Linked DNA regions of Cricetulus griseus. The protein of the gene in region 1 interacts with the protein of each later gene in a pairwise test. Links are inferred from orthologs where the notes say so. Each region holds a gene or a part of one and is shown on either strand. Other genes may lie near its edges.

What was found.
Region 2: the proteins of Sdcbp (region 1) and Eif1ad interact in binary tests that used the Homo sapiens proteins (3 or more experiments, as listed by UniProt). The two-hybrid records come from large-scale screens. The link is inferred for Cricetulus griseus from reciprocal best matches to the Homo sapiens genes SDCBP and EIF1AD.

Annotation. Positions count from the first base shown.
Region 1 is NC_048595.1:154,160,613-154,164,746, reverse strand, and holds the start of Sdcbp (syntenin-1), read left to right. Parts: upstream 1-1,330; 5' UTR 1,331-1,469; intron 1,470-4,134. UniProt on the Homo sapiens protein: Multifunctional adapter protein involved in diverse array of functions including trafficking of transmembrane proteins, neuro and immunomodulation, exosome biogenesis, and tumorigenesis.
Region 2 is NC_048596.1:53,963,710-53,967,986, forward strand, and holds the start of Eif1ad (probable RNA-binding protein EIF1AD), read right to left. Parts: upstream 2,804-4,277; 5' UTR 2,401-2,803; intron 1,978-2,400; 5' UTR 1,859-1,977; intron 1,376-1,858; 5' UTR 1,248-1,375; coding exon 1,161-1,247; intron 1,032-1,160; coding exon 923-1,031; intron 831-922; coding exon 722-830; intron 566-721; coding exon 518-565; intron 1-517. Other genes in the region: Banf1 (barrier-to-autointegration factor), read left to right, coding at 3,704-3,826.

The DNA of each region.
Region 1 (4,134 bases):
TGTCCGTAAAGCACAACCAGAGCCATAAAGCATAGCGCCACCAGCTAACTTCTGATTGGTTCCTTGTCGAGAGGCAGGCATCTGACTTCTAGTGACTAGGACAAGGTCATGGCAAGCACGTATTACTGTCATCGCTGCTGAAATGGGGAGCTGGTCCCTTCAGTAAGTGTCCAGGGCCAGGGAGCACAGATTTAGGTTACCCCAAACCCAGTGTTCCTACGTGGAAGCAGTTTCATGTAGTTCTTTTACAGAAGAGAGAAATTCATAAATCAAGGCAAGTGTAAAACACATAGTGGGTACATCAGAGAGACAGATACATGGATACTGGGAAGCTTTTCTGTAGGCTCAAGATGCTCTCTGAAGGTCTTCTGAGATTTTGTATTGGTTGAAGCTAGCTGCTGGCTAATTCAATGTCACAGGATGTTAGCTTGTACACAGGCGGCAAGGAATGGCGGCTGTTCTGGAGGGCCGGAGTTTAGCCCAACTTAAGGTAAACATGCCTCCCAACTTGCAACATCCCAACCTCTCCACAGTAAGAAATTCTAATCAGACAATCTGTCTCTGCAGGCACAGATTCCCTCAAATCATAGGGAATCATAGGGATTCCCTTCATACAGACACTACAATCAACTAGGTTTGTAGTTAAGTATTTTATTTTGATGTATTTTTAATTTCCAATTCCAATTGCTCATTTGGGGCAGATGGGTAAGTAATTGATTTTTGTATATTAACTTTGTATCCAGGCAACCTTGTTGTAACTACTTAATACTGTTTATTTTGTTTACATAGATAACCATGCCATCTGTGAACAGAGCTGCATTTCTTCCTTTTCAGTTGTGTATTTTTACAAGTTCCTCATCAGATAAGCCATAAGACCTCCCAAGTTCAAATTTTCATTATATTTGTCATGTGTTTCGTGCTTATTGTTTTATTTGTTACTAGAGATAAAATTTCAAGTTTCTGTGACGCTAAATAATTTAGCTAGACAATTGCTTGCATGTTAATGCTGTCACTATCCGTCACTAGGAAACGTTCAGGTAATGGCCTCTGCCATGGAATGTTGTGCTGGTTTCGCAGATTAACGTCGACCAAAAACCATAGCTGAGTTCTCGTATCGGCATCATCAACTCGCCAAAATCAGTCTGTGTTTTTAGATGAGGATGTGGCTTTCATTTTTTGTGCGATACCGAGAGTAATCGTCAACAGCCAATGAGCATTCGCTCTGGGAACAAAGGGTAGTAAAAAGCCGCGGGGGCTCCCAGGGAAAGGCAGCGGGCGCGGGGTCTTGGTGGAGGATGCTGGGCCCGAAGCTCGGGCGGGCTGCGCCGCGTTGTCATGGGAACGGCGCTTGTGCCTGCGCCTGCGCAGCGGAAGGCGGGGGCGGCGATGACGCGCTGGGCGGGCCGTGAGGTTCGCTAGTTCAGTGCCTCAAGGGAGCGAGCGGCTGGAGCAGCGCGTCCTCGGTGCAGGTGAGTGACCGGGAGGGCCCGCAGGTCCAGGAAGTTGCTCGGGGCACCAGGCGAGCCTGGCTGGTCCCCCAACCCGCACTCGGCCGTTCTTGGTCGCGTCCTTGGCGGCGTCAGGTCGGCCGGGGCGGGCACCGACCCGAGGCTACAACGGTTAGCGGCTGAGCCTTGGCTCTTGGAGGGGGCGGGGAGAGCCTGGGAGGGACGGGGCTTGCAGCGGGTGTGGGTACAGGAACTGTCCCTGGAGGTCTGGTGACTCAGCTCTGCCTTGAAGATTTCCTTCTAATACCGGGAGGAGGGAGGCTAGGGTCGTGGAAAGTTTCCAGTTTTCGAAGTGCAGTTGGGGAGCCGTGAGTGTGTGGGATCCTCTCGTCCTGGCTTCAGACATATAGCGGTGTTTTTCCCTTTGGTAAATTACTTAGAAAGTGTAGTGTTTGAAATTCTTAACATGCACGCTTTACGCCAAGAGCAATGTTTGAAAACGAAAGTTACACTAAAATAGCCGTTGGCCTGGTAAATTGTGCTTTTTAAAGGTAAAGATGATACGTTAAATAGATTTGTACACTCATTTTCTCGATTTAAGGCTGAGGACTGAAAATGTTTCTTTCCATCCTGTTAACAATTTAGTTTCTTAAACTTGTAGGTCTTACGTGGTACGTGAGTATTATTGACCCAGTGGTGTATGTCCGGAAGTGAGGAAGTGGAATGACTAGAAGTTTCAGTAAACAGTCACTCCATTATAACCAAAGTTACTTAACTTTGGAAGCCAATTTTAGCTATGTGCTGGAACCATTAAAGAGGACTTCAAACTCATGAACAAGAAGAGGCTGATTAACAATTAAATGCACTTTTAAATTAGGCAGTCCCTGAAAATGAGCATGATATCATTTCCCCCTTAATCCCTCCCCCCCCTTTTTGCCGGATCTGATGGTGATAACTGCTCATCGACTAGAATGTGTATCCATGACTTTTAACCATTGTGAAGATTTCAAATATATCTCTGTTCTAGCACATCACTGCCTTTTGTTTTTTCTTATACTTGGGTCATCAAAACACAGTATTGATTCCATATCTCAACTACCACCGATGGGTTCTGACAGTATTTTTTTTTTTTTAATTTCCCTGGTCAAATATAGTATCTTTAATAACTTGAGCGGTTTAGGATAATGGTGAGAGAGTATCAATTTTTGTTCCTTATTTAAAGAGAATTTTATTTAGGCTTATAAACATTAAATAATCAGTGTAGTTGATCTTAAAAAATGTCTACTTTACTAGTTCCTTCTGGTAACCTTTCTTTTATGTTTGTCTGCAGTTGGCCTCTACAAACCCCCACAGTAAATCTGGAGTACAAATAGAGCTGTGAAAGGAAACTGTAACACCCTCTTAGTGAGAGATGGTGGTCAGGACTTTTCTAAAAATGCCTCAGGACCAAGTTCTTCTGGGCCATGAAGAATCTTGTTTCTCCTACTAAATAGAAAAATGTTGGTTTGAAGAACTTTGGCTAGTAGGATATCATCGAAAACCTCGGTGTATATCATCAGGTCCTTCACTTTAAGCCTACCATACACCAGCTGGCCTTCCATGCATCACCTTTCTCTTTTAGTTTTTGCCTCTGCTACTGTGGCTGAAAGAGGAAAATTGTAGATTTTATTATGCTCAGCAGCAACAACAACCAAAACCCCAGTTTTTCCAAAACATCACTTCCCTCCATTGAGCTGTGAGTGGGTCAAAGGTCCAAGGAAGCAATGCCATATTGCTTTGAGGGTGTTGAGAGACAGATAGACAATTCTTTTCTTTTTTGTTTTGTTTTTTGAGACAGGGTTTTTCTGTGTAACAGCCCTAGCTACCCTGGAAGTTACTTCATCAGTGACTAATTTTCCCAAATGATGCTAAAAAAACAAGCAAGCAAACAAAAAACAAAAGCCCTAAGATGCCTTTAGGAATAATAGGATGGCTCAGAACGACAGTGCAACAGTGAAAGCATTACTCTGTTTGTCCCACCCAAAGTAACTGTCCTTTCTAGATAACATTTTTTGTAGTCCTTTGTGCTGTTGTGTTTGTTTAGAAGAGATTCTGGTATTACCCAAATCATTAGAAAAAAATCTCAATAGATTTACCTTTGGGTGATGTTTTCTAAAACCTCCTGGTGCATTGGGTTCAGGGCTTTTCATAAGCAATGGTGGAGTATTGTGGTCTCAGCCAGTATGGGGTAGGCCAAACCTGCTTGAGGGATGATGGTTGAAAGCATCGGTTCTTTCCAAGCATAAGATCAGCAGAGCAGCTGCTGTAGACGTTGCAGTCAAACTCCGCAGATGTTTAGGGCTTTGGGTGCTGATTTGACTCCAGGAGCCATCAGGTGCCTTGGGTGATGTAACCCAAGGGTGGTGATGCCATCACTCTCGAATGGGAAGCCTAGAAGCAGAATTCTGTGGCTTAGTTGGCACATGATGGTTTAATAGGAATTATAAGGGATTAAAATGAGAACTCTTCACTGGTGTAATATTTTCAGAATTCTCTAAGTTCACATTGATCATTGTAAAATTCCAGTCAAGGATAGTTTCACAGTTCTTCAAAAGAAGCTCAATACTTTTGACACCTGGAATCAGATCAGAGACTCAGCCCTTGTGACAGGGGGTGGGGGGGCTAGGGAGGTAGGGGAGTGGGGGGT
Region 2 (4,277 bases), on another chromosome or scaffold:
TTTTTTACTTTGCATAATCCTGTCTCTTAGGTAAACTCTTGTTTTTGAGAAAAGATTTCATGTAGCTCAGGCTGGCTTTTTTTGGGGGGGGTTTCCTTTCTTTTTGGGGGGTTTTTCAAAACAACGTTTCTCTGTCTCAATTTGGAGGCTGTCCTGGAACTAGCTCTTGTAGACCAGGCTGGTCTCGAACTCACAGATATCCATCAGGCTGGCTTTGAACCTGATTCATGTACACAATGCTGGTTCAAACCCCTGCTTCCACCTTGTAATTGCCGGAATTACAGGTATATACTACCACACCCAGTGGTGTGAAGATATTAAATACTGTACCTAAAGTCACTTGCCTATTTAGTAGCAAAGCCAGTATTTTAACTTGGCCTTTAAGCTATACCCATAACTATCCACTCTACTGTGTATGTTAGAGTTCTCAACAGAAAAGCAGGATCACCTTTCTCCTTGAGGCACCAAGGTATGAAATTGTATTTTTGTCTTCCCTGGGCTGGGGCTTGCTCCTCACCTGTTCATACTGTTTTGTTTCTCAGCTACCTCAGAGAAGGCCTCAGGCCTGTGACAAAGAGAAGATCCAGGTCAGAGAGTGAAGAGAAACCTTTTAGCAAAATAGCTGTTTCCAAATGTCCTCTTGGGATGGCATAACCTCACCACCCCTACCCCATTCCATAGCTAAGATGTTACCACACCTAGAAGCTAGAAATTATCCTACCAGTGGCCCTCCTTCTGCAGAGAACGGACATGGTTCTTGCAGAGCACAAAAGATATCTCAGCCTTCACTTTCTCTCCCTCTTCAATAGGGTCAACAATGAGGAAGTCCCCTGTAAGTGACAAAAGATAAAGGCATTCCCATGTGAAGGAGAAAATCAAGAATCAAGGTCATGGTTCTGTACTGTACAGGGATGCCTCTAACCTCTTTTGATCCAGATGTTCTTTCGGTATTTGGAGGGCATGCTCACCAGGAAGCGCTGCCCTTGTGCCGTCTCTACCTCATGCAGATTGTTGCCGGGAGTCCTCAGGACCTGGTGCAGGAAAGATCAAGAATTAGGCACATCACCAGTTAGATCAAGCACACACTGACCTGCACTGAGCCCTTCCCACATCCCAGGGGTCCGGTGGGCGTAGAGAAAAGCTGAGACCCATGCTCTCACCTTCACTATCTGCTGTTGGTCTGAGGGCACCATGTGCTCTCCCAGCACCTCCTGCACCACGTGTTTTCTCTTGGTGGCCTGAGACATGCTGGGTTCTGTCCAGGGTTGTTAGGACGCAGACAACGTCAGCTCTTCCAGAGTTATGTGGATGGCAGTCTTAGAAGCCAGGACTGCTCTCAGGAGAAGCAGCCTTATAAGAGAAGTGCCACCTTGCCCTGTTAAAAACAAGAGCTTTACAGGACTGGCGACTTGCTGCTCTTGTAGAGAATCTAGGTATGGTTCCCAGCACTCACAGAAGCTACAACTGACCCTACCTCCAACACCCTCATTTTGAGACATACATGCAGGTAAAAACACTGATAAACATAAAAAAAAAAATCACTAAAAAACAAGGCACGTGTTTAGCCAGATGCTGGTGTATGCCTTTATTCCTAGCACTTGGTATGCAGAGGCATGCAGATATTTGTTGCGTTCTAGGTCAGCCTGGTCTACATAGTGAAACCCTGTCTCAAAAATGAAGCAAACATGACGTTTAAGGGCCGGAGAGATGTCTCAGGACCCAGCACCCACATCAGTTGGTTCACAACCATCTCTAACTCCAATTCTAGGGGAATCCAATGCCCTCTTCTGGCCACCAAGGACACCTGTAACACCCACACACAGTAAAAGAAACCAGGAAACATGTCTTATAGTCTTACTTGGAAGAAAGGGGGATGGCTCAAGCCTTAAATCTCAAGACTCTAATCCCAAACCACAGAGGTAGACGAAAGCATATGGAGGCCAGTCTGGTCTACGTAGCGAGATATCCTCTCAATAACTAACAAAAAAAATGTAAATAAGTACTGACGTGACGATGAAACCATACGCACCTCCCAGGCCGATCATTCTGACAACCTTTTGTTTGTTTTTTCCGAAACAGGATTTCTCTGTGTAGCTTTGGAGCCTATCCTGGAACTAGCTCTTGTAGACCAGGGTGGTCTCGAACTCACAGAGATCTGACTACATCTGCCTCCCGAGTGCTGGGATTAAATGCTTACGCCACCACCGCCCGGGCTGACAACGTCTTTGGGGAAGTTTGAGTAAACTACTTTCCTCCACATGCTTTAACACCCCCAAGTGTAGGTCAGCCATACAACAGATGCTCGTCCTCCTAACACTCATGGTGTAGACTGACTCGGCCACCACCGCAGCGCTTCAAGCCGAAAAACCCTTCGAGAAAAGAGCCGCCCACAGCACTCACCCGCTCGGCGTTACACAAGCAAGCTACGTTTTCCAGGTAGACGCTGAACGCAGCTCGTCTACGACTCACTTCAAGACGGAGTCAACAAAAGCAAAGAAATGCGACTGGCAGGTGGTCACGACGGTCGCGCCGGTTTGGACGCCTGGCCTCAGACCACCGGTGTTCCCAGCTGCCGTCAGCCGGCTTCAGATAGACCTGACTCTGAGGAACCCGCGAGAATTGCACTTCCGGGGCTCTCAGTAGCCCTCCGGATGCCCCGCCCCTTCTTTGTCCGTTCCTTTAGTCTTCCCTCGACCAAGTCAGGCCACCTAAGTCTTTAAGTTCCAGGTGCTGGGCAAGAAAAAGATAACAGTATTCTCCTCGGAGGCCTCGGTCTCATAGATGGGAAGCGGGGCCGGAGAAACACGACCATAGAAAGCAGCGCGGCTTCCTGTGAGGGACCGGAAAACAGCGACCTCTGTGGGCTCCGCAGTTAGCGGTTGCGCCTCAACTCTATGGCTCTCTGTGGCTAGACGTGCCCAATTCGGGTATTTTTTTTTTAAAGGCGGCTCCTGACACGACCCGGAAGCGGAAGTTGAAGAACGTTCTAGCAACTTGAGGTATCGGCTGGAGCTGCCGAGTGGCGGGAGGAGCCGTTACGAGAGCCGGAGCTGCCGGTGAGCGTGAGCGGCGAAGTAAGGCTCCGGCTAGGCGGCGGAGGCGGGAGGGAGAGGAGCGCCCGTGGCTGAGGCGCGTCTCTGCAGCGGACCAGCCTGGCCTTGCGGGAGGGGCGGTGCGCGGAGCGTGGGAGCCGCGGCGCGTGCGAGCCGCGGCGCGTGGAGGAGGCGGGGCGGCGCGTCCGGGGCGGGGCCTGGGAGCCGCGAGGCGTGGGCTCCGGCGGGCTGCGGGAGCCGGTGCGCGGCGCCTGTTGGCCTGTGGAGGGCGGCGAGGGTAACGAGCCCCTCTTTTTGCTGCTATTTCTACCACGTGGTAGCTCCGGTCGGGGTCAGTGTTTGCCTGGCCAAGGTCACCAAGAGTGACAGCTTCAGGGCGGGCCCTGGCTGCTGAGGCTGTGAGTCTTTCTCTACGTGCGCCACTTGTTAGTGCAAGCTCATTACCAAATCCCAGGGCCCACAGAAAGTGGAGATTTCAGGATGTAATAGCGGGGGAAAGACTTTCCCTGGCCCCCAATTTTCTCAGGTGTGAGATGAGGGGGAATCGAGGAAGCAGCCACAATAGCTGACCTAGGAGGTTGCCCTTGGGAGTTGTGGTCTTCAGCCCTAACCTGCCTTTTTTTGGGATTCCCAGGTTAAACCTGATCAAGATGACAACCTCCCAAAAGCACCGTGACTTCGTGGCAGAGCCCATGGGGGAAAAGCCAGTGGGGAGCCTGGCCGGGATTGGTGAAGTCCTGGGCAAGAAGCTGGAGGAAAGGGGCTTTGACAAGGTGTGGGGTGGCCACAGATGCCAGGGAGGGGTAGGAGTGAAAGTTGGCAACAGATGATTCCAAGCAAAAAAATTGGGAGTTAGGAAAAGTAGGGGTACGGGGAGGGCACGGACAGTGGTAGATAATTTGAAGTGGTTTGGGGGCATCTGGGGAGGCAAAGTCATTTTTGTTGTTGTTTTGGAGACAGGATCTCTGTCTCACAAGTGCTGGGATTAAAGGTGTGCCCTACTGTGTCCTACCCTTTGAGTGTTTTCAATGCCACAAAGGTGATGAAACTAGGTATAGTGGGTCCTCCCTATGACCCCAGCACTTGTGAGATTGAGGCAAGCAGATTCTCATCTAGTTTAATGCCAGTCTAGTCAACAAAGCAAGACCCTGTCTTAAACAAAACAACCAAAACAAAATGGCCTTGCCCTCTCAAGTGCTTATCAGCTGACTTGCCTAGCTTCAG